Callithrix jacchus: one gene and its partners. The protein of the gene in region 5 interacts with the protein of the main gene of each other region in a pairwise test. Links are inferred from orthologs where the notes say so. Each region holds a gene or a part of one and is shown on either strand. Other genes may lie near its edges.

What was found.
Region 1: the proteins of MTUS2 (region 5) and DCTN4 interact in binary tests that used the Homo sapiens proteins (3 or more experiments, as listed by UniProt). The two-hybrid records come from large-scale screens. The link is inferred for Callithrix jacchus from reciprocal best matches to the Homo sapiens genes MTUS2 and DCTN4.
Region 2: the proteins of MTUS2 (region 5) and TP53RK interact in binary tests that used the Homo sapiens proteins (3 or more experiments, as listed by UniProt). The two-hybrid records come from large-scale screens. The link is inferred for Callithrix jacchus from reciprocal best matches to the Homo sapiens genes MTUS2 and TP53RK.
Region 3: the proteins of MTUS2 (region 5) and SNW1 interact in binary tests that used the Homo sapiens proteins (3 or more experiments, as listed by UniProt). The two-hybrid records come from large-scale screens. The link is inferred for Callithrix jacchus from reciprocal best matches to the Homo sapiens genes MTUS2 and SNW1.
Region 4: the proteins of MTUS2 (region 5) and KAT5 interact in binary tests that used the Homo sapiens proteins (3 or more experiments, as listed by UniProt). The two-hybrid records come from large-scale screens. The link is inferred for Callithrix jacchus from reciprocal best matches to the Homo sapiens genes MTUS2 and KAT5.
Region 6: the proteins of MTUS2 (region 5) and CRY2 interact in binary tests that used the Homo sapiens proteins (3 or more experiments, as listed by UniProt). The two-hybrid records come from large-scale screens. The link is inferred for Callithrix jacchus from reciprocal best matches to the Homo sapiens genes MTUS2 and CRY2.
Region 7: the proteins of MTUS2 (region 5) and SHFL interact in binary tests that used the Homo sapiens proteins (3 or more experiments, as listed by UniProt). The two-hybrid records come from large-scale screens. The link is inferred for Callithrix jacchus from reciprocal best matches to the Homo sapiens genes MTUS2 and SHFL.

What each region holds. Positions count from the first base shown.
Region 1 is NC_133503.1:49,422,559-49,425,755, forward strand, and holds the end of DCTN4 (dynactin subunit 4), read right to left. Parts: intron 3,075-3,197; coding exon 2,861-3,074; 3' UTR 501-2,860; downstream 1-500. UniProt on the Homo sapiens protein: Part of the dynactin complex that activates the molecular motor dynein for ultra-processive transport along microtubules.
Region 2 is NC_133506.1:41,910,517-41,914,514, forward strand, and holds the start of TP53RK (EKC/KEOPS complex subunit TP53RK), read right to left. Parts: upstream 2,801-3,998; coding exon 2,518-2,800; intron 607-2,517; coding exon 167-606; coding exon of another isoform or gene 128-166; exon of another isoform or gene 21-127; intron 1-20. Other genes in the region: uncharacterized protein LOC144582859, read left to right, coding at 2,799-2,927, 3,034-3,261.
Region 3 is NC_133509.1:112,686,042-112,689,541, forward strand, and holds part of SNW1 (SNW domain-containing protein 1), read right to left. Parts: intron 3,171-3,500; coding exon 3,029-3,170; intron 1-3,028. UniProt on the Homo sapiens protein: Involved in pre-mRNA splicing as component of the spliceosome. As a component of the minor spliceosome, involved in the splicing of U12-type introns in pre-mRNAs.
Region 4 is NC_133511.1:122,803,676-122,807,692, forward strand, and holds the start of KAT5 (histone acetyltransferase KAT5), read left to right. Parts: upstream 1-1,217; 5' UTR 1,218-1,236; coding exon 1,237-1,414; intron 1,415-1,741; coding exon 1,742-1,810; intron 1,811-1,899; coding exon 1,900-2,036; intron 2,037-2,300; coding exon 2,301-2,483; intron 2,484-2,572; coding exon 2,573-2,647; intron 2,648-2,756; coding exon 2,757-2,831; intron 2,832-3,787; coding exon 3,788-4,017. UniProt on the Homo sapiens protein: Catalytic subunit of the NuA4 histone acetyltransferase complex, a multiprotein complex involved in transcriptional activation of select genes principally by acetylation of nucleosomal histones H2A and H4.
Region 5 is NC_133506.1:147,967,852-147,971,858, reverse strand, and holds the start of MTUS2 (microtubule-associated tumor suppressor candidate 2), read right to left. Parts: upstream 2,801-4,007; 5' UTR 2,681-2,800; intron 1-2,680. UniProt on the Homo sapiens protein: Binds microtubules. Together with MAPRE1 may target the microtubule depolymerase KIF2C to the plus-end of microtubules. May regulate the dynamics of microtubules at their growing distal tip.
Region 6 is NC_133511.1:110,891,850-110,895,349, reverse strand, and holds part of CRY2 (cryptochrome-2), read right to left. Parts: intron 2,512-3,500; coding exon 2,371-2,511; intron 632-2,370; coding exon 320-631; intron 86-319; coding exon 1-85. UniProt on the Homo sapiens protein: Transcriptional repressor which forms a core component of the circadian clock.
Region 7 is NC_133523.1:9,278,982-9,282,911, forward strand, and holds the start of SHFL (shiftless antiviral inhibitor of ribosomal frameshifting protein), read left to right. Parts: upstream 1-1,130; 5' UTR 1,131-1,241; coding exon 1,242-1,262; intron 1,263-1,734; coding exon 1,735-1,858; intron 1,859-2,054; coding exon 2,055-2,104; intron 2,105-3,823; coding exon 3,824-3,862; intron 3,863-3,930.

The DNA of each region.
Region 1 (3,197 bases), on a different chromosome or scaffold from region 5:
CTAATTTCCTTTTTAAGATGAGATAAATCACATGCTGATGGAAAAAGGAAGGGGAGAGCTGCCGATGCTATCTGTGAACAGGTAAGAGGATGTGCTTGACTGTTAAGAGGTGGGGCTGGCTTCAGAGAGAAGAGTGTGAACAATTCATCTAAGTAACAGGAGGGAAGGAAGAGTTATGAAGGTACAGATGAAGGTGGATGAGCGGCCATTGGTGGAGGCAGACCACTGTGTATGCTGCAAAGGATATCTTTAGAAGCAATGACCCAGGATAAAAACTGGCAGAAGTCTAACAACATTTATGTAATGGTTCTGTGAATATGTATATGAGAAGCTCAAAGCTCTACTTATGTATTACGGTGAACTAGCCTGTTAAGAGTTTAGATCACTTCATTTAAAGAAATGGAAGGGAGCATGCCCCACCAACTCTCTTAACTCCACTCCTATCTTATGACTCTAGGCATGCTACTTAGTGTCTACATGAAACAAAACAAAAGACACACTCAAGCTTTGTCTGCTTTATTTCACTACATTAAGTTAAGCAATAAGGCAAAACAGTAACCTGTGATTCATAAAGATCAAGAAGTGCCGCTCCTTCCCAAAAGGGATGTTTCTTCACAAATACGCATGACACTTAGCTCATTATGCTGACAAGCACTTCCAACAAAAGAAGACGTTAGTGGGAGAATCAAATAACAAACCCAATGAGCTTAGCCTAAGTTTCCAAAACTGTAGTTTCAAATGCTAAGGAGAACTAACTTTCCCGTGGTGGTGCATACTGACTAGCATTAAAATTTTTGCACCTCATCTAATATAAAAAAGGCAACAAATACAATTCCTAATTCACCAGCTGCAGGTGTTGAATCATTTTTACAAACACGCGGAATACTAGCTTGCACTAAAACCTATCTTGAGGAAACATTAAACCAATGGGTCTGTTATTCAAGTAAGTTTAGCTTCTGAAGAAAAAAGTTTACAATGAAAGTATTTTGTGTTTCTGTGTCATACAGGAATAAGACCCATACTTCAACATTATTACTTTTGGGAACAAATCCCAGCTACCTGACGTGTGTAGTCTATGCAAACGTGTAAACATATGAAAGTATTCTCTACTTTGATGCCCATTTCCTCCGGTGGCAAATATGGAGCAGTGACTTCACGGTAAGCCCTAGCAGGCAGTGAAATAAAAATCCAAGACTCTGTGGGGTCAGAACAAAAGCCAAACTCTTTCTATAGTCTGCAAATCTGTGATTACCCATCCCTGTGCTCCAACTCCTAAGAGGCTAAACTTTATTATTACCATAGCGTTAGAGATGAGTATTTTCTTTCTTACACTGCATCACATATATTACTCTGTGGGACTGTTTCATAAAGTTGGCTAGACCTTAAGAGCATGATTTAGTATCTTTTACAAGCTTCCTAAATATTTAAAACATTTTCAAGGGAAGCTTACAAGGACTATCTCCCATCTGTATTCTACATTATATTGTGTCTTTAATTATGTTTTTTAACTAAAGACTTAAAACAAGACCAAGGTAAACAGAAAATTTATCTTTTCCTCAAGTCTCTTGGCCACTTACTAACAATACCTTTACAGAAAACACAGTGCAGCTGGTGGTCTACTTTGTCAAGTTTCGTTTTAGAAAACATCATAAAAACTAAGGTTAGCAACTCAACTCCAGGATACCAAGTGAAAACAGCATGTCTGCTGTTAGGCCACAGCTGTGGGCTACTTGCTTAACTATTTTATGGTTTACAATCAAAATGGTCTTATTTGACTCACCATATGACCAAAGTCTTAAACTTAGTAAGGGGCAAAGTTCTTAATATCCAGTTTTGGATTCAAGAGATTATAACAGTTAACTTCCCCTTCAAATCAATGGAAAGAATGCTAGTTGAAAATATGCTAAAAATCTAACCTTTAAAATGTTTTCTGCATTCCAGAAGTGAACCTGTCCACAAAGGTTTTCTTTGGGTTCTTTTCCAGGTCCCAAATAGAACGTACTGAGTTACAGAGGCAGAACAGAGAAGGCATAGGAAGTAAGACAAATAAAGTTCGCTCCCCTGTGGCAGCATTAATCCCTGGGTGTTGTGGCAATATTTAAAATGAATGGAATTTGCTACCCCCTTGACACGACAGGTAATTGCTTGCTTCTCAAATTCTTCTTGAATGGTCCCATATTATACTGGGAAAAAAATTAAGACAACTAGTAAGTGTCCTGTATTCACTTAGAAAAAGAGGGCAAATGAGAGTGCCTTAACAACTTCACAGGCTGTTCCAATCATCATAATACTAAAGATGATGTGACAATTCAATTTTTCTGTTACATAGAAATCTACGGCAAAACAGCAGCCATTATGGCAAGTGAAGGGATATGTTTTAGACTGTTAGATTATATTTAATGGAATGCAGAAAGCAGTTGGTACATTGCCACCAATGCTGGATCATTAATAACAGGTCCACCTGTGGGTTATCATTTAAGTTTCATCTGTGACATTGTGATCTTTTAGTGAGATCAGATCAAGAGACAGTACAGTACAGTTTCTCAGGTGGTAAATACAATGCCACTCCAAGGAATACCCATCCCCTTTCCTAGGATGGAATTATGCTGTTGTTATTCAATGTGCAGGGCTCAGTGAGGGAGACACAGACTTACTGGTGTCAACAGAGTTGAGAGCAAGAGGAACAGTAGTTACCCTGTGTTCCCAATGCTTCACCAATGCTCCCACTTTCCTAGCAATAGAATTCTGTAGTGCATGGGTACATCATTATAAACGAGGCCTAATGAAGCAGCAGCTTCCACATTTTAACGCAGGTTTATGGTGACACTGTCCTTTGGGATCTGCCCTCCAATGGAACCTTTTAAGGAAGCAGTGGGCCCAAGCTAAGTTCCACATGCTGGGTGAGCCAGATGACTTCTGTGCCCTGCTCGCTTTCTTCAATGGGGCGAATAGGGGCTGCCAGGTTTTTAAAATCATGCTTCATCTTGAAGCACACGGTCACTTCACCCTCCTCACGCTGTGGGGTAACTTTGATGAAAATACCCACTTTGTTGGCCTTTCTGAAGGCTATAATGCTATGGAAAGAAAAAAAAGCAAGTATTAGGTAGATAAAAAATTAGCCAAACCACTAAGACTTACAGTAAAAGTAGTCTTCCACCTTATTCTCTCCTCCAGCACACACAGAACACCTATAAACA
Region 2 (3,998 bases), about 110 Mb from region 5:
GGATGATCACACACCACTTAAAAATATCTTAACACCTTTACTTAGATCGCCTCTCTTACTTGCCGCATTTCTTCAAATGTACTTTGAAAAAACAGCTTCACTGCGTCTGGCTGTCAGACACATTCTTCTACCCAACCATGGACCTCTTTCTTCCTCTCAGGCGTACCTCATCTAATTTTTTTAGCACTGGCCTGGCCTTTTTGGAGGAGGTGGAGTAGCTCTTCAGAAAGGCTTCAAACACAGTTTCAGTGTTGGGATGGGTACTGAGGAAGGCCTTCTCCAGGACGTAGAGGTCTACTCCCTTATCCTCTGGAAGTGCTGAAATGAAACTCAGCCCAAAGTCTATCAGCACGATATTCAGCTGTTCGAGGGGTGGTTTCAGGAGCATGTTGGAGGTGGTGAGATCACCATGAATGAGGTCTTCATCGTGCATTTGAGCCAAAACCTGCCCAATTGCCTTGGCTAAGTTGGAGAGGCTCTGGGGAGTTTTTTCAGTCTCCATAGTGGACTGAATATAATCTCGAACAGTCACCGAGCCTTCAATTTCTTCCATATATAAGCAGTTGGAAGCATAGTCCACAAAAAAGACAACTGGGGCAGATATTCCTGAAATCAAGACATAAGTGGTTATTGCACTGGATTTTCTTTTTTAATGGTAAACTTAATTTTCAAAGATTAAGCCAGTTTTTCCAACTATATCTACTTATTTCAGGATGATTTAGGAATGCTGCAGGAAATGGCACAACTTAACTCATCTGGAATATTCCCCTGCTCACGCCCACTGCAGGACTATGCCTGGGACCACCCCACAGCTAAGCTGAGGAGGCAAAAGCTTCCTCCTCCCTTCCAAACCACCCTTTCTCACTGAACTTCATTTATCACACTCTCTCCCTGAAAAAAAAAAAAAAACAAAGGCCAGGTGCAGTGGCTCATACCTGTAATCCCAGCACTTTGGGAGGCTGAGGCAGGCGGATCACTTGAGGTCAGAAGTTCGAGACCAGCCTGGCCAACATGGTCAAACCCCATCTCTACTAAAAATACAAAAATACAAGTAGCTCGTACTACCAGCTACTTGGGAGGGTGAGGCAGGAGAATAGCTTGAACCCAGGGGGTAGAAGTTGCAGTGAGCCGAGATCACGCAACTACACCACTCCAGCCTTGGTAACAGAGCGAAACACTGTCTCAAAAACAAAAAACGAAAATAAAGAGCAAGGCACAGCCCAATCAGGGCAGGTTCTACTGATGAGGTCACAAACAGGAGGCCAAGCAGTGGGCTGACTTTGAGGTTCATCTTCAGAGAGGACAGGGTTCAAATCCCATCTCCTTTTCTTATTAGTTCTCTAATCTTAAAGTTACATTAACTTCTCTAAGCTTCAGTTTCTGCTGCTATAACATAGGAACAACAGCTCCAATAAACTCAATGAATCTTTACCGAAGGTCAACCAGGCTCAGTATACTTTTCTAGAAACTTAGAGATAAATCAATGGGGATACAGCAATAAACGAGGCAGTTATAATACAATTCCTGCTTAACATAACATATCATAAGAGGTGGAAAACAGAAATACGAACACACAAATAACTTCATGAAATCTTGTCTTTACAAGGGCGGCATGTGTCTGCTTGTTGGCTAATGAATTTCTGGGCTCCCCTCCCCCAGATCTCCCAGCACTTAACAATGTTCTGGTGCCCACCGCTGTCTAAAAAATATTGATAAAAGAAAGAAAGGCAAGAAGTGTAAAAGTGAAAAGCCAGTGCTTCTGAGTCAGGGGCATACGGATCTGAGGGCCTGGACCAGCCACTTAGTAGCTGTGTAACCTTGGGCAAGTTACTTCTCTCTTGAGTGCCAATTTCTCATCTGAGGACAAGGTTTATTGTGCTGGCGCACAATGATGTTTAATGAAAAAATAAATAGGCAATTTAATGAAGTCCAACATTTATTGAGCACTACGTGCCAGGCACACATTTGAACATAATACGTGGCACATATACCTTCTCTAATGGTCACAACATCCCTACGACATGGATACTGCTACTATGTCTCCCATTTCACAGGTGAGAAAACTGAGGGTGAGAGGCTAAATAACTTGTTGAAAGGCTACATAAGCAGCAGCAGAGTTAGTATATCAACCCAAAGAGCCTGGCTCCAGATTTAATTACATCTGTTTCTTAAGACTAATAAGTAAACAGATAATGATTGAAAATTGAAACGAGTCAAATAGGGAAACCAAGGCTCAGGGAAGTTAAACATGTTCAACGCTGAGCAATAATGACAGAGCCCAGATCTGAACCAGGCAGAACGGCCCAGGACAAACGCTTGACCCTGCACGGCCACGTGGTTTCTTAAGACTTAATGACGAAAGGTATGAAAGAATAACATTTCCGAAAGGCAGGCCACGGCAGAAGGCACATAAGGAGAGACTAAGGCAAATCAAGGCTAGGAGAGCAGAAGAGTACCTCACTCGTCCAAGCCCCAGAGCCTCGGGGCCACCCACGCCGGGATCCCGGCCCACCTTACCCGCGCGGCGGCAGCGGAGGAGGGCCCGGGCCTCCTGCACAGTCCGTCGCCTGCCAAGCCGCGCCTCCAGCGCCGGGTGCCGGTAACCCTTGGGGAAGCGGTGCTTCACCACCGCCGCGCGACCCTGGAAGCGGCCGCGGAATACGCGCGCCTCAGCGCCCTGCTTCACCAGCTCCAGGCCGCTCAAGAAGCTGCTGCTCCGCTCGCGGGCCGCGGCCAGAGCCTCAGCCTCCGGCGCTGGTTCCTCGCCACCGTCCGACACAGCAGCTCTGGATGCCGCCATGACTGTGGTCCGCGAAACAGTTCCGATCGATCAGCGGTCCCTGAAAACGATCGCGATGCTTCGGCTCGCTTCGGAAATCCTCGGACTTCTGCTACCCGAACGCGTCTACCCCGGAAACTTCCGGCCTGTGAGTGGCTACGCCTCCCAACTTTTAGGCTCTTTCTGAAGCCTTGGGTTCCCTGCAGGAAGGGCTCTTGTGGCCCCGCCTTCCACCTCTTCCGTTATCTCCGTAGCGTTCGGCAACTCTCGGAAAGCGGCCCTTCCCCACTCCTCGGCTCTCTCCGGAAATCTTCGGTGACTCTCGCAGCCGGCTTTGGGGCCCACCTCCAAACTGGTTGTCTCTTTCCGGAAAACTTCGGCGCCTGTCGAGAAAAACGTCGGACGCTCTCTGCTCTTTTCAGGAGTCTTCCTGGACAGCTGCACCCGCTAGTAGTTTGTTTTTGGAACTCCTCTTCCCCTGACTCCTAAATTTTCCCCAGAATGTAGTCAAACTAGTCAGAGTCGCGCGGGTCAAGACAATGAACCCATGTTTCCGACATCGTCTTAAGTGTTAGGTTAACCACCATTTAGTGCATTCAGAAGAAATAAGGATAAATGATGAAAACCCTTCCTACGGAAAAGAAAATGGAGACTCAGAGAGGGCAATGGGGGTGGTAGGATGGGGCAGGGAGTGGGGGCTGGGGAATCCCGGAAAATTTTCCGGAGACAGAACATAAACTGAATTGGGAGTAATTAAGCTTTTTCAGTTTCTACCTGTTTCATTATAAAGCTAATACAGGCCGTAGCAAATTCTTACAATACAGAACTTTGCACACACACACATGCATCAAAACCTGCCTATCGCCCTTGCAATGTGACGCCGCTGGCCGTTAGTTTCTTTCCAGGCTTTTCTTTTATTCAATGCGCACACTCACACATGGTTGTGGCGTTTTTTCCAATATGAACGACATCATACTGTGGGTTCTTTTGCAACTTGCTTTTCATTCTCCTAGACAATTTATCTCGGACTATATTCTATTTCAGTGCATGCAGAGCTACCACGTCCTTCTACCTGTTGCGAAACAGTTGTTTCCAGTTTGTTGTTTTTCAGGAAAACATTTTACTATTACCAGTTTCTTATAAAAGATAGTATAAGAGATAAAAATGAACAGCCAAATGAAGAGATACAGGGGTAAAATTTAAAATGGTAGGCATTTAT
Region 3 (3,500 bases), on a different chromosome or scaffold from region 5:
GTAGTTTTTTGTAGCTATTATAAATGGGACTGCCTTTTTGTTTTTCAGCTTGAGTATGCTATTTGTATATAGAAATGCTATAAATTTTTGTATGTTGGTTTTGTATCTTGTAATGTTACTGAATTCATTTATCAGTTTTGTTTTTTGGTTGGCGTCATTAGGTTTTTCTAAATATAGGATCATACTGTCTCTGATGAAATATAATTTAATGTCTTCCTTGTTTTGATTTTTTAGATGGAGTCTTGCTTTGTTGCCCATGCTGGAGTGCAGTAGCGCAGTCTTGCTGCTCACTGTAACCTCTGCCTCCCGGGCTTAAGCAATTCTTGTGCTTTAGCGTCCTAAGTAGCTGGGATTATAGGTGAGCCCCACCATACCCAGCTAATTTTTGTAGTTTTAGTAGAAATGGGGTTTCACCCTGTTGGCCAGGCTGGTCTTGAACTCCTGACCTCAACTGATCCACCTGCCTCAGCCTCCCAAAGTGCTGGGATTACAGGTGTGAGCCACCACACCTGGCCTTCCTTTCCAATCTGGATTTCTTTATTTCTTTCTCTTGCCTATGTTCCTCTGTCAAGGCTTCCAGTCCTATGTGGAATTATAGTAGTGAAAGTGGGCACCCTTGCCTTGTTCCAGATCTCAGAGTAAAGACTTTCAATTTTTCTCCATTCAGTATAATGTCAGCTGTGGGTCTGTCATATGTGGCCTTAAATATTTTTAGGGATGTTTCTTCTAAGCCCACTTTGTTGACTGTTTTCATCATGAAGGGATATTGAATTTTATCAAATGCTTTTTCAGTTTCTACTGAAATGATGCTATGGTTCTTATTCTTGGTTCTATTAATGTGATGTATCACACTTACTGATTTGCATATACTGAATCATCCTTGCATCCTTGGGATGAAGGACAGTTCAGTTGATTATGATGAATGACTTTTTAATGTCTTGTTGAATTCTGTTTGTTAGAATTTTGTTAAGGATTTTTACATCTATAACTATCAAGGATGTTAGCCTGTGGTTTTCTTATTTGTTGTATACTTGTCTAATGACTTTGTAGAATAAATTTGGGAGCATTCCCTTCTCTTAAATTTTTTGGAATAGTTTGAGTCCAACTGGTATTTAGTTCTTTAAATGTCTGGAAGAATTTAGCAGTGAAGCTGTTAAGTTCATGGGAGCAATGTTAATTGTTAAGAAAAAAAATTAAGCACAGACTAAGTGGTAGGAGATATGGGTGTTCATTATATAATTCTTTTAGCTTTTCTGTATGTTTGAAAATTTTCATAATAAAATAGCAGGAAAGGCCAGGTGCAGAGTCATCCTTAACTCCTAATTTTTTTTTGTATCTCCATCTAATCCACAAACAAATTTTGTCCACTCTACCACCAACGTACATCCAATATCTGACTATGTTTTAGCTACCACTTGCTACCATATCTCTTATAGTTTTATTTGGAAGGCATTAACCCATGCCCATTTCACAGTAATGTATTTTTAAGACAGCAGCCAGGGAGGTCTTTCAAAAATAAATGTTAGGGGAAATGGTCATATGGTACAAAGTTTGATTTATGCAGGATGAGTAAATTCTGGAGATCTAACATACTGTATGGTAACTATGGTTAAAAATACTGCATTGTATATTTGAAATTTGCTGAGAGTAGATCTTTTTTTTTTTTTTTGACAACAGTTGAGACTTTCCATCCAGTAACATAAGACAGTAGATCTTATATGTTCTCAACAAAAAATTTAAAAAGTAACTATAAGAGGTGATTGGTAAATTAACTGGCTGGACACTGGTGAACACAGTGTATATTAAAACATCTTGCTGTATACTTTATACAATTTTTATTTGCCAATTATACCTCAATAAAGCTGGAAAACAATGTTAGATCACATCACTCTACTCAAAGCGCTGCAATTGCTTCCCTTTTCACTTGAAGTAGAAGGTTTATCTTTATAATGGTTAAGCAGTGGCCAAACATAATCTGGCCACTACTCTTCCCACCTGCCCTAACTATTCTGACACCATATCTCCTACTTCTCCCCTTCTTTCTCATACAATCCAGGCTTAATGTCCTGTCTGCTCTTCCTTGAGCCACTCTAGGCATACCCCCATCTCAGAGCCTTGTACTGGCTGGCCCTTCTTTGTGGGATGTGCTTCCCCCAGATATTCACATGGCTTGCTTCCTTACTTCCTTCAAGTATTTCTGCTAAAAGCACTATGTCAGAAGTGAGGGCTCTTTGATCACTCTCACCTTCTGGCAATTTTATATCCTCCTTCCCTGTATTGTTTTTCCTCCACAGCAATTACTACCTTTTACTATACTACATGATTAACTTTTGTCTGTCTACACTCACTAGAATGTTAACTGTTATATCCCATTCCCCCATCCACTGTCTAGCAAAAACCCCTTACATCTAAAAGGAAACCCTGCACACAGCAGATGCTCAATATGAACTACATAAATAAAAGAATGAATAAATGTACTAGGTAAGAATTTAGTAATGCAAGAAAAACCACCCTTACAAAATTTCAATTAGGATTCATCTTCCCACTTCAATTGAATTAAAACACCAATGTAGACGACTAAGTAAAGCCAGAGAGAAAATACTGGAAGATTTAATGATTAGAAATGCATTAGCCTACAAGACAGAAAAACTCTGGATTATTTTACCATATGAGGGAGTTGAGTTATTCAATTAGAGACCTAATTTCTCTTAAGTTTTGAGATTAAAATAAGAGAAAAATGAAGCCTATCATTTGAGTAATAATGCAATTTTGAAAAGTATATTACTCAGAAGTTTAAAAACTTCTGGTACAGTCCCAAACTGAAGGCCCACCTTTAAATATACACTCTTATCTCCTGTTGCTTCAGCTTACTAACACACAGATTACTCTCCATTTCTAAACTATATCTGAAGTATCTAAATTTTGTTTATATGTACCTACTTTATATGCAGTAGGAAAAAAATATTTTCTAAAATGAGATATATTTTGTTCACCAAGTAAATTCAATTCAGTAATGAGAATGTCATACCTTTTTCCACATGAGTTTTGATCCCAGCTCTTCTCTCCCTGGCTTTCTGGGCCATTTCTCTAAGTTTCTCTTCATGTTTTTCCTTTTCTTTTTGAGCCATTTTTCTCTCTACTTGGGCACGCATTTCCACAGCTTCACGAGCCTGTTAGTAAAGTCATATGTTAAACAGGACACTATCACGGGATAAATATTTATAGCTATCATCCAACTCCCTAACATCTGGCTGGTAAGAGCAATTATACAGAATTCAGATTTGTTATTGCTAATTAAAACAAAGATTCTTTTCCATTAAAAGATATCCTGCCTGGAAGACACTGCAAGGTCAGCTTTTTTCTCTGGGAATATTTTAGTGAATGAAACTACAGTGACCACAATTAATCTTGTAAGTCAAGTAGTTCACTAATGCTTTCTCAGAAACAATCGAAAAAACAAAATTAAAGCCAAGTGTAGTGGCTCTCTCCTGTAATCCCAG
Region 4 (4,017 bases), on a different chromosome or scaffold from region 5:
CTGAAGTCTTCATTTTGTTCACTGATGTATTCCAGGCTCTAGAATAGTGTCTGACACATGTTTTGGGTCCCTAAATATTTTTTGAATGTATGATGAGTATCACACATACTATCTTTATAATTATAAACCTAATATACAAAACAACGGCCGGGGCCGGGGCCCTAGAACTTTGGGAGGCTGAGGTGGGTAGCCTGCTTGAGCTCAGAAGTTTGAGACCAGCCTGGGCAGCATCTTTTTCTTTTTTTTGAGAAAGGGTCTCACTCTGTCACCCAGACTGGAGTGCAATGGCAGGATCTTGGCTCACTGCAACCTCTGCCTCCTGGGTTCAAGACATTCTCTTGCCTCAGCCTCCTGAGTAGCTGGGATAACTGGAGGACACCACCATATCCAGCTAACTTTTACATTTTTAGTAGAGATGGGGTTTTACCATGTTGGCCAGGCTGGTCTTGAACTCCTGACCTCAAGTAATCCCAGAATTTTGGGAGGCTAAGGCGGGCAGATCACGAGGTCAAAGGATTGAGAGCATCTTGGCCAACATGGAGAAACCCCGTCTCTACTAAAAATACAAAAATTAGTTGGGCATGGTGGTCCGCGCCTTTTGTCCCAACTACAGGGGAGGCTGAGGCAGGAAAATCGCTTGAACCCAGGGGGCAGAGGTTGCAGTGAGCCGACATCGCGCCACTGCTGCAGAGCGAGACTCCGTCTCAAAAAAAAAAAAAGCGTAGTATACAAAATAAAGCTAGGAATATTCCCTGAATCCTCCTGCCTATGGAATGAAGTCCACAGACTTGGAAGAGCGTTGAAGCCCCTCTAAAGCCACTCCCTTCCTCCAGCCTCTCGGCCCGTAGCTCAGCACTAGCAGTTCACTCCCGGCGATACCTCCCGCCGCCACGAGGAGACGCCCCAGCACCGCCCTCTGTCAAAGCCCAAACAATATTGCCACGTGACCCGCTCCGCATCCACGTGACCAGCGTCGCACGCGGTGGGCGTCAGGTGACGGGCTCAGTAGTTCTCCAATCGCTGTGCACGTTGTGGGGTTTCCACTTAGGGCTCGGTCTGAGGCTTGTAACACCACATTCTCCCCCAAGCCACAGGGGCAGTCTTGCCGCTGGCAGCTGGGTGGCGGTGTCTCTCAAAGGTCCTCTATAGGGGCTTCGTGAGGCCCAAGCCTACAGCACTCAGTTCCGGAAGTGACGTCTCCCAGAGGGGCCGGAAGTGGCAGTGGAGGGAGGGAAGATGGCGGAGGTGGTGAGTCCGGTGCCTGGGGCGGGGCGGAGGGAGCCAGGGGAGGTGGGTAGAGCCCGAGGCCCCCCAGTAGCCGACCCTGGCGCCGCGCTGTCTCCCCAGGGGGAGATAATCGAGGGCTGCCGCCTACCCGTGCTGCGGCGGAACCAGGACAACGAAGATGAGTGGCGTGAGTGACGTCGGGGGGCGGGGCTAAGGAACCTGAGGGCGAGGGGCGGGAGGGAGTCCACTGAACCCCCGGGATGGGGAGGGGCCTCTGGAATTATGGGGCGGGCGGGGCTCAGACACTCCGATGAAGGGGCGTGGCTCTTAGCTGCTATGAGAGGTACAGGGCGGGGTCTGGAAAGGGGTGGCACTTGTGACTGAAGGAGGCTTGGATGAGACCTTCCAAGTGCTGCAGCTTAGGGATCCGGCCTGGGGGTGGAGTTCAGGTCGTGGAAGGGTGGAGTCTCATGGCCTGGCCCGTCTAAGGTCCCTGCCTATGCTGTTCCCATAGCACTGGCCGAGATCCTGAGTGTGAAGGACATCAGTGGCCGGAAGCTTTTCTACGTCCATTACATTGATTGTGAGTTCTGGGCCTAAGGTGGGGCAGCAGGGTAGGGGGTTGGGGGGCAGTCTTTGGCATTCCTTCCTGAGCCATCCCCACTGCTACAGTCAACAAACGTCTGGATGAATGGGTGACGCACGAGCGGCTGGACCTAAAGAAGATCCAGTTCCCCAAGAAAGAGGCCAAGACCCCCACCAAGAACGGACTTCCTGGGTCCCGTCCCGGCTCTCCAGAGAGAGAGGTGGTGAGTAGGTCCCCCACTTCACCTCATCTCTCCTGCCTCCTATTTCTCTTATCTGTTGGCATTTAGGGGCTCCTGGATGGGCAGGAGGCGGCATCCTCTTACCCTGACTTCAGCTTGCAAAAGATGGGGGCCAAATTGCACATGTAGCTCCCAGAGTCCAGTAGTTAGTCCTGTGTCCTTCAGAAGGCAGAGGGTGGGGTTTGATAATTTTAAGCTGAGGGGCCCCTCTTCCCCTTCCCCATCCCACTGCCATCCCCGCCCCAGAGGAAGACCCTGGACCTATCTCTACAGCCGGCCTCGGCCCAGGCCAGCGGGAAGACCTTGCCAATCCCGGTCCAGATCACACTCCGCTTCAACCTGCCCAAGGAGCGGGAGGCCATTCCCGGTGGCGAGCCTGACCAGCCGCTCTCCTCCAGCTCCTGCCTGCAGCCCAACCACCGCTCAACGGTACCCTCAGCAATTCCAGGGACCTTGCTTTCTTCTCAGGTCCCACCTTCTCTACCCTCTGACCCACCTTTGTTGGTTTCTCTCTGCAGAAACGGAAGGTGGAGGTGGTTTCACCAGCAACTCCAGTGCCCAGTGAGACAGCCCCAGCTTCGGTTTTTCCCCAGGTGAGTTCCCCAAACCATTTCTTGTTCCTTTCCTCTCTTCTGCCCTCTGGTGGCCCTTTTCAAGCTCATCTCACAGTCATCCCTTCTTTTCCTGGTATCTCATCTGCAGAATGGAGCAGCACGTAGGGCAGTGGCAGCCCAGCCAGGACGGAAGCGAAAATCAAATTGTCTGGGCACTGATGAGGTGGGTCTGGGGAGCAGCAGAAGGGAGCTGCGTGAAAAGGAAGGGATGCAGGCAGGGTGGAGAGTTATTTAGTGATGAGTATAAAAATGAAGGGGTGGTGGACCTGGGCAGGGCTAGTGTTGGTAGGATTAGGAGCCAGGCAGAACATGGTTCAAATGAATCATTGGGGCTGGGCACCATGGTGCACACCTGTAATCCCAGCACTTTGGGAGGCCAAGGTGGGTGGATCACCTGAGGTCAGGAGTTTGAGACCAGCCTGGCCAACATGGCAAAACCTCATCTCTACTAAAAATAAAAAAATTGGTTGGGCACAGTGGCTGACACCTGTAATCCCAGCTCTTTGAGAGGCCAAGGTGGGTGGGTCATGAGGTCAAGAGATTGAGACCACCCTGTCCAACATGGTAGTGAAACATGGTGAAACCCCATCTCTACTAAAAGTAAAAAATCAGCTGGGCCTGGTGGCGCACGCCTGTAATCCCAGCTACTTGGGAGGCCGAGGCAGGAGAAACGTTTGAACCCCGGAGGTGGAGGTTGCAGTGAGCTGAGATTACACCACTGGTACTCCAGCCTGGGAAAAAAGTGAGCCTTTGTCTCAAAAAAAAAAAAAAATTAGCCAGACATAGTGGCAGGCACCCGTAATCCCAGCTACTCCGGAGGCTGAGGCCAGAGAATCTCTTGAAGCCCGGAGGTGAAGGTTGCAGCAAGCCAAGATTGCACCACTGCACCTCATCCTGGGCGACAGAGTGAGACTCCATCTCCAAAATGATCATTGGGTGATGTTTTCCACATCATCAGTCCCTTAGGGTTTCAGGTTTTACGTCTGGAAATTGGGGGTCATGGTACCTTCCCTATAGGGTTGCTGTTAGGCTTGAAGGAAACCTGTTGAGGGGGTGTGAGCTGTGGTGTCCTGCTGAGCTGTCTCGTCTAACCTGGTGTCTTCTACTCGCCCTGGGCAGGACTCCCAGGACAGCTCAGATGGAATACCATCGGCACCACGCATGACTGGCAGCCTGGTGTCTGACCGGAGCCACGACGACATCGTCACCCGGATGAAGAACATTGAGTGTATCGAGCTGGGCCGGCACCGCCTCAAGCCGTGGTACTTCTCCCCGTACCCACAGGAGCTCACTACATTGCCTGTCCTCTACCTGTGCGAGTTCTGCCTCAAGTACGGCCGTAGCCTCAA
Region 5 (4,007 bases):
CAGCTCAAGCAGGGTCAAGGATATAGAACATTCCAGCAAGCAGGCAAGGGGGCTTGCCAATGAGATTACGCCATCTGTGACTGGGAAATGCACTTGTCCAAGTTAGGCTCCTACCCCCCTACAGAGACTAGGGGACAGAGCCCTATCCTTCCTGATAGTTTCATTTCAAAGGAATGGCTCATAGACACTGAGGAAGACACTTCAGGTGGCAGGAGATACACATTACATCTCAAAGCACAGAGAAAGAATTACAGGTTTTTAATAAATAATCTAACAAAAGGAAAGTCAGGGGCCTATTATCATTTGCACAAGTTAGAACAAAAGATAAATTCTTTGGGGCAGCCTTGAGCTTTTCTAGGTAGGAATGCAAGTGAGGTTGGGTCATCCCAGGAACATGGTCTTAGGGTGCTAGACACCACATTATATGGTTTGGCTGTCCCCCACACAAATGTCACCATGAATTGTAGTCCCCATAATCCCCATGTGTCATGAGAGGAACGAGGTGGGAGGTAATTTAATCATGGAGGCAATTACCCTCATGCTGCTCTAAGTTCTTATGAAATCTGATGATTTTATATGGTGTTTTTCCCCCTTTTGCTCATTCTTCTCTCTCCTGCTGCCACAGGAAGAAGGACGTGTTTGCTTCTCCTTCCTCCCCAGCCATGCTGAACTATAAGTCAATTAAACCACTTTCCTTTATAAATTACCCAGTCTTGGGTATGTCTTTATTAGCAGGGTGAGAACAGGCTAATACACAATGCTAGGGTGTTTTCAAATCCCTTGGAGGGTGGAAGCACAGATAAAATTGTTTTTGTTGAAAGCAGCAGTTCTTACAGGCCAAGACCGAGGCCTAGTTGAGAAGAGGGCTCAGGGGAGCCTGACTAAAGTTTGGTCAAAAAGAGAGTCTCTATGGATGGGTGGGTAGATGGTATACAGACGATGGATGGATGGATGGATAGACGAGGTGGGAAGGGTCAAGAATATAAGATCGAAAGGCATCCAAATTCACACAGGAAGTAGAAATCACTTCAGAGCAAAAGGGAAACTCCTTGACTCTTTTCAACAACTCATTTCAAACATGTGTGTGGTGGATATTATAAGCCTCCCACTCGCTCATAAAAACTGCTAATGGGAACAAGCTGATATTCATCTAGTCCTTCCAAACCTGCATTTGTTTCCTGTAGGATATTTTCCAGGACTGAGTTTGTTTGCTCACTGTTGAAAATTCGTATTAGAGACCAATCCTAAGAAGCTTACAGAAGGATCTCCTATGGAGCTGATGCGATCTGTTCCAATTAACATTTTATTAATGAAGCATCTTTCAGTAGTTTTTTTTTTCTTCCTTTCCCCGTGGCATCTTGCCTCTGAGAAGAGGAAGAGCTTTAACCCACTTTCCTCCCTTCCCCACCCCATTTCCATTCTTCTCCATCTCCAGTTCACACACTGAACCAAAACAGTCCCACGCATGTGAGATCACGAGGCAAAAAGCTGGTTCTCCAGGTAAGTGCCTGATTTCAGTGGCTCCACACAGCCCTAGGTTATAGCAGTTTGCAGTCTCTCAGCAAGTCAACTATGATATTGTCTAGACTTTTTTTTAATCTTTTCGGACAACAAAAATTAAACGAAGAATAGGCAACTTTATAATTTAATATTTGAACATAAGTTAGAGACGGACAAATTCAGGGTTTGTGGAACCTTGGGTTTACATAATTGGGGGAGTGGGAGAGCAGAAAGAGTACTCTTCCAGACGTGGAGAAATAGGAATGCTTTTACACTGTTGGTGGGAGTGTAAATTAGTCCAACTATTGCAGAAGGCAGTGTGGCGATTCCTCAAGGATCTAGAACTAGAAATACCATTTGACCCAGCAATCCCATTACTGGGTATATACTCAAAGGATTATAAGTCATTCTCCTATAAAGACAAATGCACATGTATGTTTATTGTGGCACTGTTTACAATAGCAAAGACTTGGAACCAACCCAAATGCCCAGCAAGGATAGACTGGATAAAGAAAATGTGGCACATATACACCATGGAATACTATGCAGCCATAAAAATGGTGAGTTCATGTCCTTTGCAGGGACAGGGATGAATCTGGAAAGCATCATTCTCAGCAAACTGACACAAGAACAGAAAACCAAATACCACATGTTCTCACTCATAAGTGGCTACTGAACAATGAGAACTCATGGACACAGGGAAAGGAACATCACACACTGGGGTCTCTAGTGAGTTGGTGGGCTAGGAGAGGGACAGCAGGGGGTTGGGAGGTTGGAGAGGGGTAACGTCAGGAGAAATACCTAATGTAGGTGACAGGGGGATGGAGGCAGCAAACCACCATGGCATGTGTATACCTATGTAACAATCCTGCAAGATCTGCACATGTACCCCAGAACTTAAAGTAAAAGAAATAAAAAAAAGAGTACTCTCCCTATTAAAAAAAAAGAATCCAAAAGTACAAATACAAACTCAGGGATGACCACATGAACACACTGCCAGCGCCCCTCCCAGAGGGCTCCAAAGAAGCCTGAGGCTTAGGTTCATTAGCTCCCCAGTCGATCTGCCTCTGCTAGAAGACAGAAAGGACTAGAGAGGTTTCTGCCACAGCATTCAAGTCTCCAGAAAATCGCCAAGCCTAACAGTCTTCTATTACATCAATCCCGGAGACACTATTCTTACCTCTCTTTCGCAAACCACCATCCCTGCTGTTCCCTCTAATTTGGCAACAGCAATTCATTATAAAAGTACGTATGCCGGCGTGGGTTTGGGCATCCTCCCGGATTTTGGCTTTAACAGTCTAGTTCCGTGTCAATTATATAATAGCCAAAACAGGGAGTTTAATGGAGTACCAAAAGCACAGTCATAGTTCTTACATAAGCCTTCATAAACCATCCATAAGATCTGCTCTGAGATTTGGATATTTGGGATTACATAAGGTAGACAGGAAACATTGACTCAGAGGTCAGGTTTCTTTCTGACTTTAAAAAATAATAAAAGCCTTTTTGCATTTAATGTACTCGTTTATAGTGCTACAATAAGCTTCTAATTTGATAGGGAAAATAATCTTTCCTATGACTTACTTTATCATGTAAACATAAAGGAATATCCTGACACTACTACTCAACTTTCATTGGTACTTCTGCAAATGAAATGTATCACTTAGGATTCCCATAAGTATTCTACGTGGAATTATGGGTCCATGATAAACATCAACTACTCTTTGCAGGAAAAACAATCAAGAGGAAGCTTTTAGACAAAGCAGAAAAGTCTGCATGTTGTAATTCTTCGACGTCTCCTTTCCAATTCCATTTTTTCCTTCCCATGTTCCTAACAACATATTTTTGACTTACCTTAAACCACTGTAGCAACATCTAGCCTACAAAGTGACAAAACAATGCTGTGCAATGGTTCTCTGCCCTGGCTACATGTTAGAATCACCAGGAAAGCTTTTTAACATTATAGATGTCAAGGCATCACCCCAAACCAATTAGAACAGAATAATGGGTGGAGGAGGACCAAGGGGTGTTCCCAGCTATCAGTATAGCTGATGGTTTTTACTTTTGCCTATTTTAGTGGGGGGAAAAATAGCCATAATTGAGTACAAGTGAGTACTTGTTTTACGGGGTGGGGAACGGGAAGGGAAAAAGAGACAGATGCTTTAATAACTGGCAACTCATAACTACTAAGTTTCCATCAGAGACTAAAAATCATTCAATAGTTTGAAAACTAAAAAGGATATATGTGGGATATTTTTATCAATAAGAATTCTCACCAATTCATAATACACTTCACAAAACCAACTTTTAATGCCTTACAATTCTACCTAATGACTTTTTTTTAAAGGGTCCTATATTATCTTAAAAGGGTATCTCAAGCTAAGACCACCGCTCATCACCAAGTAAACTTAAAGCATGACACTCTTCTTGGATGCTCTGGTAATCACACATAACTTTGCCAATGAGCAAATATTTTTTTAAGCACTTATATAACACAGAGTACAGGCGCC
Region 6 (3,500 bases), on a different chromosome or scaffold from region 5:
GCTGGAAGAAAGCACTGCATGACAGCCACATCCAGCTGCCTGCATTCACGCTGAAATCTGCATCCAGGAGCAGCTCATCAAATACCTAAATAGGGGAGGGACGATCAGTCTCCTTGGGGACCTGCTGCCATGTTTCTTCCCAAGTCACCACAGTGCCCCCAGGAGCCAAAACTCTTCTGCTGAAGGCAAGCCACAGAAGATCTAGAGGGGATCTCCTGGACCCAGAAATCCCAACCCATCCCTCAGCCCAGATGGGGGCTGCCCTTTGCTGGGCCTGACCAGAGGGTACAGGCCAGCTTTTTGCTGAGAGAGCACTCACCCGGACCCCGCTCTCCCAGCTGACCCAGAGGTCCCCGCGGGTCAGGAAGCAGGCCACGGCGTGCCGGGCCAGGTGGTGGATCCAGCCCTCCTGCCTCAGTTGGGTCATGATGGCATCAATCCAAGGGAAGCCTGTCTTGCCCTCGGCCCACTTGGCCAGGGCCTCAGGATTGCGGTCCCAGGGGATCTGGATGCAGATGGGGTTCCCCTCCATGCGGTCAAACCTGGGGTTGTTGGTAGCTGCCGTGTAGAAGAACTCTCGCCATAGGAGTTGCCCAAACAGGGAGAGGGGAGGTGTGCTGTTCCGCTTCACCTGAGGGTAGGGTGGCACACGGGTACAAACACTCGCTGAGCTCTTAGCATGACGCCTCTCAGGTGTCTTCTACAAAGGAATCTGGGCCCTCCACAGACTCGGCGGCTCAACCCCAGATGTGGAGGAACTATCCCCTAGAAGCGGCACAGCGGACCTGCAGGTGCAACACTCAGGCCCTGCCTGCACTATGCCACTGCTCTGAGCAAGAAGAAAGCTACAGAGGGCCGGGCAGTGGGAAGGAACCTCACCACAGGACTCTGCACTAGGAAGCAAATTTCCCAAGGCTCGTCATGTTCCTTGTCCTCAGAGTTCCCTGTTTTGCTCCACCTTTTAGACAGTCAAAAGGAGTCTTCCTATCAGCGCACATGAAAAATGTTGTCTAGATTCTGGTTGAATAAGTTATACACACAGCCTGGATCTGGGACCATAAAGTAATTAAGAAATCAGACCTCCAAGCAAATAATGACTTCCCTAAAGCCACAAGATTACTCACCAGACTGGCAAAGCTACCCCATGCCACAAAATCTCAAAAATGGCAAGGATGGGGAGATAACACTAAAAAAATGTAGCTGTGGCCAGGTGTGGTGGCTCGCACCTGTAATCCCAGAACTTTGAGAGGCTGAGGTGGGTAGACTGCTTGAACCCAGGAGTTTGAGAACAGCCTGGGCAACATGGGAAAACCCAGTCTCTACAAAAGATACAAAAAAATCAGCCAGGTGTGGTGGCATGAGCCTGTAGCCCCAGCTACCTGGGAAGCTGGGGTAGGAGGATCTCCTGAGCCCGAAAGGTTATGGCTTCAGTGAGCTATGATCATACCACTGCACTCCAGCCTCGGTGAAAGAATGAGATCCTGGCTCAAAAACAAACAAACAAACAAAAACAAACACAGACACAGCAGCTGGGCATGGTGGCTCCATCTGTAATCCCAGCACTATGGGAGGATGAGGCAGGAGAATTGCTTGTGGGCAACATAGCGAGACCCCATCTCCACAAAAAACTTAAGAAATTAGCTTGGCATGGTGGCACACACCTTTGGTTCCAGCTGCTTGAGAGGCTGAGGCAGGGGGATTGCTTGAGCCCAGGAGTCTGAGGTTGCAGTGAGCTGTGATCAGCCTACACTAAACTCCAGCCTGGGTAACAGAGCTAGACTCTGTCTTAAAAAAAAACAACAGAAACAAAAAAATCATAGGCACAAGTAATGTGATCACTCTGAATGTTGACTGTGCTGCCCTCTCGCCTTCTGGGGACACTTAACACAGGCTTATTTGCTTCTTGTCTGTATAGCACAGCTGTGTGTGCAGCCTCTCCAGACCACTCCCTCCATCACTGATGGACAACTGCTGCTCCTAGACTCCCCTTCTGTGCTCTTCAGCTGCAGACTGGCTCCAGCCTCACCCGCTCCATGCCTCTCACCTGGGGACCTCACCCCCATCCACCAGCTGCCAGAGGATCTGATACCTCTAGAGTCACACCTGAGGCCTGCTTTCTGCCTGCCCTTCTGCTCTACAGAAGAATGGAGCCTGGGCTCCATTCCGGTGGGCAGTTCACTCTGTGCTTGCCCCTGCCCTGTGGGGTATTGACTCTTCTCTCCTCCTCTGGACTATCTGCACACTTAGGCCCTTCCAGGGGCCACAGCCCAACCCCCTCCCACCAATGCCTCTTTTTTTAGGGCAACTAACAAGCCCAAAACGCCTGGCTGCAGACCTTAGCTGTGACTTGGGCAGGTGTGTCCCTCTTACCTTTTTATAAAGGTCCCACAGGCGGTAGTAGAAGAGGCGGCAGGAGAGACAACCAAAGCGCAGGTAGGGGCTGAGGCCCGTGGGACTGGCCAGGAGGGAGTTGGCGTTCATTCGGGGTCTCTCATAGTTGGCAACCCAGGCCTACAGCAGAAAGAGAAGGTGGCAAAAGGAAAGGCCTGGATGTTACAGATGAAGAAATGGAGGCATTGGATGGTTAAGAAATCTGCCTAATGTCGCAGAACAGCCAGCCATGGAGCCAGCACTTGACACTGTGCTCGTCCAGCTGATTCTGAGACGGAACCAGCAGACCAAACAGCGACTTCCCTGACTTGCTCTTTAATTTGTGGGGTGATTGTGAACATGTTTTTACATCCCTCAGCTATTTATCTATTAAATAAGAACAAAATTTCCAATCTCCTGCGGATTAAAATGAAATATGAAAGAATTCTGAAAGCACTGAATAAACTCTCTAATTCTACAGCAGGAAAAACAGCTTCTACTTTACAGAAAAAAAATTCTTTTTCTCAGTCCCTTCTCTAGTCAGTAGGGGCCCTGAGGTTGTATCACGGACACCAGGGACTTCCACTATTGTTCAACAGCAGCTGGGAAAGAGGAAATTTCCAATCTATTCCTGGGGACCAACAGAGTCATTCACTTCTGGCGCCATGTGTCACATAATATTACTGGTTGTGTTTTTATCATCACTGCTTGCTGGCATAGGACTTTATTTTCCTGACTTGCTATTTCATGCAGTCTCTCATTATCTTTTTTTTGAGACAATAGTTTCACTCTTGTTGCCCAGGCTGGAGTGTAGTGGCATGATCTCAGCTCACTGACACCTCCGCCTCCCGGGTTTAAGTGATTCTCCTGCCTCAGCCTCCCAAGTAGCTGGGATTACAGGCACACGCCATCACACCTGGCTAATTTTTGTACTTTTAGTAGAGATGGGGTTTCGCCATGTTGGCCAGGCTGGTATCGAACTCCTGACCTCAGGTGATCCACCCGCCTCAGCCTCCCAAAGTGTTGGGATTACAGACGTAAGCCACTGTGCCTGTTCTCACTTGATCTTAACAATCATCCGAGGTATCATTTGTCACTACCTCCTTTTGAAAACAAGAAGCTAAGTTCAA
Region 7 (3,930 bases), on a different chromosome or scaffold from region 5:
AGTCGTTGAACACAATGCTATTTTGCCACTCAGAGAGCATCTGGCAGTCTCTGGAGACATATTTGGTAGTCACCATGGGGAGAGTGGGGAGCCATTGGCATCTAGTGGGTGGAGCCCAGGGATGCTGTTAAATGTTCCCCATAACAGGACAGTCCCCCACACAAAGAACTAGGCAGCCCAAAATGTCAAGCGTGCTGGGCTTAAGAAACCCTTGCCCGAGCGCCCCAGACTTAGTCTTGCTTTGGGGGCTCCGCAGGCTGCTTCATCTCCCCACTCTATTCCTCCCCCAGACCTCCAATTCCAGTGACGCTGTACAAAGCATCCCCTCCTCCAACGAGGCAGCCATCTCTGATGTCCCCAGGCTGGGCCAGAGCCCCACCACTCTAGGGCTACCAGATGCATCCTGTACAAGGTTCGAATTGTCCCGGCCCACCGCGTTCTCAACCATGGCAGATTCCCTGGATCCCTGAGACAGCCGGATTCTACCGGGTTACTAGAGACCAAGAATCTGTATTTTTCTCAAGCACCGCTCCCCGCACCACACACACACACACTGCCTGCCCCATCAAGGGCACACAGCAGGTGGCCCAGTGCTAGTGGAGCGCCTACTGCAAGCCAGGCGCTATTACGCGATCCACTCGGGAATCTTGGCACAGGCTCCACTCCATGGTGTAGAAACCAGGATCTTCCCCATTTCACAGAGCAGTAAACTGAGGCTCAAAGAAGTGACCGTAGCGGGACAGAGACTCAGGGCAGGAAAAGGGCCCAGGTCCTCAGAAGCTCCAGATTCCCGGGGGAGGAGGGAGGACAGAGGAGGGTGATGGACTGGGGGAGCGCGCGCTGGGTGGGGGGGCGCGGGGCTTCGCCGCGGCCTTCCGATGCAGCCCCGCCCCCACGAGGGACGTGAAGACGCGGACCCCGCGCAGCGTGGGGACATGTGACCGACTGCAGAGGCCGCGCCGCCTCCCCCGCCCGAGGTCTGCGCGCTCCGCCGCAGGGTGCAGACCCGGGGCTCCCGCCTGGGTTTGGGGCGCAAGAGCAAAGGCGGAGCCAGGGCGGAGCCAGCGCGCCCGGTCCCCCCCGAACCGAAAGCGAAACAGGGGCCGGGGAGGAAGGGCGGAGCCGGCCCCGAGGCACCGCCCCCTGCCCTGCGCGGCTGCTGGACCGACGGGCGCGCCCAGGTAGGGGGGCGGCTGAGCCGCGCAGTGCGGACCCTCGCGGGGACCTGCGCCGCCGCCACCATGTCTCAGGAAGGTGTGGAGGTAGGAGATGGCTACGGCTGGTCCGGGGGGGAGCCGCGACAGAGCCCGAGGAGCGGCCAGGAGGCGCGGAAGGGGCTTCGCAGTTCCTGGGGACCCCCATCCTAGAACCCCAGATCCTTACCCCTGCCTTGCGCTCGCCCCCCTTGAAAAGGAAAGTGACTCCCACGTTTCCCCAGAGCAAAATGAGGCCTCCCTGAGGAAAAGCGGGGGCTGCAGGGTCAAAGGTCAGAGGCCAGAGATAACCTGGCCGACCCCCCACCTTAGGCTGGGACGCTCGCCCCGGCCCGCGCCCTCCCCCAACGCCCTGTGGGGACTTTGGCTTTTTCCAGGAAATGCCGTAGAGGGATGGGGGGGGGGCGGCGGAGGCCAAAACCAAGGGTCAAGTTCAGGCCGGGAGAACGGTGCCTAGTAATGGGGGAGGGAAGATCGCGCGTCCCCTTCCCCCAGCGGAGCCCCCGTGTCCCCATCCCAGCTGGAGAAGAGCGTCCGGCGCCTCCGGGAGAAGTTTCATGGGAAGGTATCCTCCAAGAAGGCGGGGGCTCTGATGAGGAAATTCGGCAGCGACCACACGGGAGTGGGGCGCTCCATCGTGTACGGTGAGGCTGAGGGGGCCCGGGCCTGGTGCGGGGACCGCGCGTGGGATCGCCGAGGGGGCGTGGTGTAGGGAGAGGCGTTGAGATCACCTCCCCTGGAGATCCCAGCTTGGGGGAGGCTCTGCGTCGCGGTTCTGGGTGGCCTGGAACTCCCACAGACCCTTCAAAGGCCCTTCCCTTATGCGCACTCTCCCCGCAGGGGTAAAGCAAAAAGATGGCCAAGAACTGAGTAACGGCCTGGATGCCCAGGTAACCCTTCCCCTCTCAAAGGACTGGGTCACGGGAGGGAGAGCAAGAGGGGGCCCGACCCGTTCATGGGGACCCTCCTCTGAAACAGCAGGGACCAGGCATTGTCGTCTGCAACTCATGCCCAATCTTACTCACTTTTTCACCTCTCCATCGTTTGCGAGACCAGGGAGCCTGCAAACAGTAGGCGCTCATTATGTGCTGATTGTATTCAATGGGAGAGAGAGAGCCATGAAACTAGGCAATGAAAGGAGCCAGGATTATTGCCATGGTAGGGGAGCCCCAGAGGTCAGAGAAGGCTTCCTGGAGGAGGAGGTACCACGTCTTAAAGGATGGGGTGTAGTGAGCCCTAGGAGGGGAAGCCAGGGGTCTTGGGGTGGGGGAGGGAATGGTATGAGCAAAGACTGGAAGTGGGGAAGGGTTGTTAGTGGCAGTCCCTAAAAAGGCTGCGATGAGCAGGGGATTGGGGAGGAGAGAGAGGTGGGGAAATGGAACCCTTGTGTTGAGTGAGTGAGTGAGTGAGTGAATGAATGAATGAATGAATGGTTTTGAAGCACAGGTTCAACGCGGCTACTTTGCTTCTTGGAGAGCTTTGGTGATGGGAACGCTGTGGATTTCATCTGCCTGAAAGGCTCAGTGTAGGGCTGTAAAAGAGTATAATAAAATATGCATCATAGTCCACATTTACACATGTAAAAGTATGATAAAAATATAGCAGAGGGGCCGGGTGCAGTGGCTCATGCCTGTAATCCCAGCACTTTGGGAGGTAGAGGCAGGCAGATCACTTGACGTCAGGAGTTCGAGATTAGCCTGGCTAACATGGTGAAACCCCGTATCTGCTAAAAACACAAAAAATTAGCTGGGTGTGGTGGTGCATGCCTGCAATCACAGCTACTTGGGAGGCTGAGGCAGGAGAATCACTTGAATCCGAGAGGCGGAGGTTGCAGTGAGCCGAGATCGTGCCATTGCTCTCCAGCCTGGGCGACAAGAGCAAAAAACTCCATCTCAAAAATAAAATAATAATAACAATAACAGAGGGTAGCATTGATTGAGTACTTCCCACATGGCGAGACTCCAGGAATTGATTTATTTCATCACCACAGTGACCCAGGAGACAGGTCCTATTATTTATCATCCCCATTTCATAGACAAAGAAACTGAGGCTTAAGTCACTTGCCAGGTTCTCGAGGCAAGCAGGTGGCAGCTGAGATTTGAACCCTGGCCACCTGGAGTCAGAGCCTGAGCTCTGACATGCCTGTCAGTCAGTGGGAACCCAGGGGGCAGGGAGTGGCTTGCCCAAGTCCCCACAACTGGAAGTGATAGAGTTAGGATTCAAACCTGAATCTCAACCCAGATTCCCACCACTTATCTCTGGCACAGTGTGGCGTCAAAGGGGTGATGCATCACAACACCAACAAGCATGTAGCATTTGCAGGCAGGAAGTGAGTATGGGAGTCAGGCTGGCTTCACTCAGGCAAGTCCTCCACTAAGCCTCAGTTTCTCCAGTGCAGCAATAATGTCACAGGTGTGCCCACTTCTCAGGGCTGTTATGAGGACAACTGAGACCACACACCTGGCTCTCAGTAAGTGGGCAGTGCTCTGTGAGTTCCTGGCGAGTTAGGGGCACCCCATTTTCCTTGTAGCCAGGCCTCTACCCCAGCAAACAGATGGAAAGAGGCCTGAGCCCCATCCCCCATTTCTGCCCCTGCTATCTCCACCCAGGACCCACCAGAAGATATGAAACAGGACCGGGACATTGAGGTGAGTTGGTGGCTGTGGCTAGGGATGGGGAAGTGGGGAGGAGGACATCTGCAGGCACAGAAGCATGT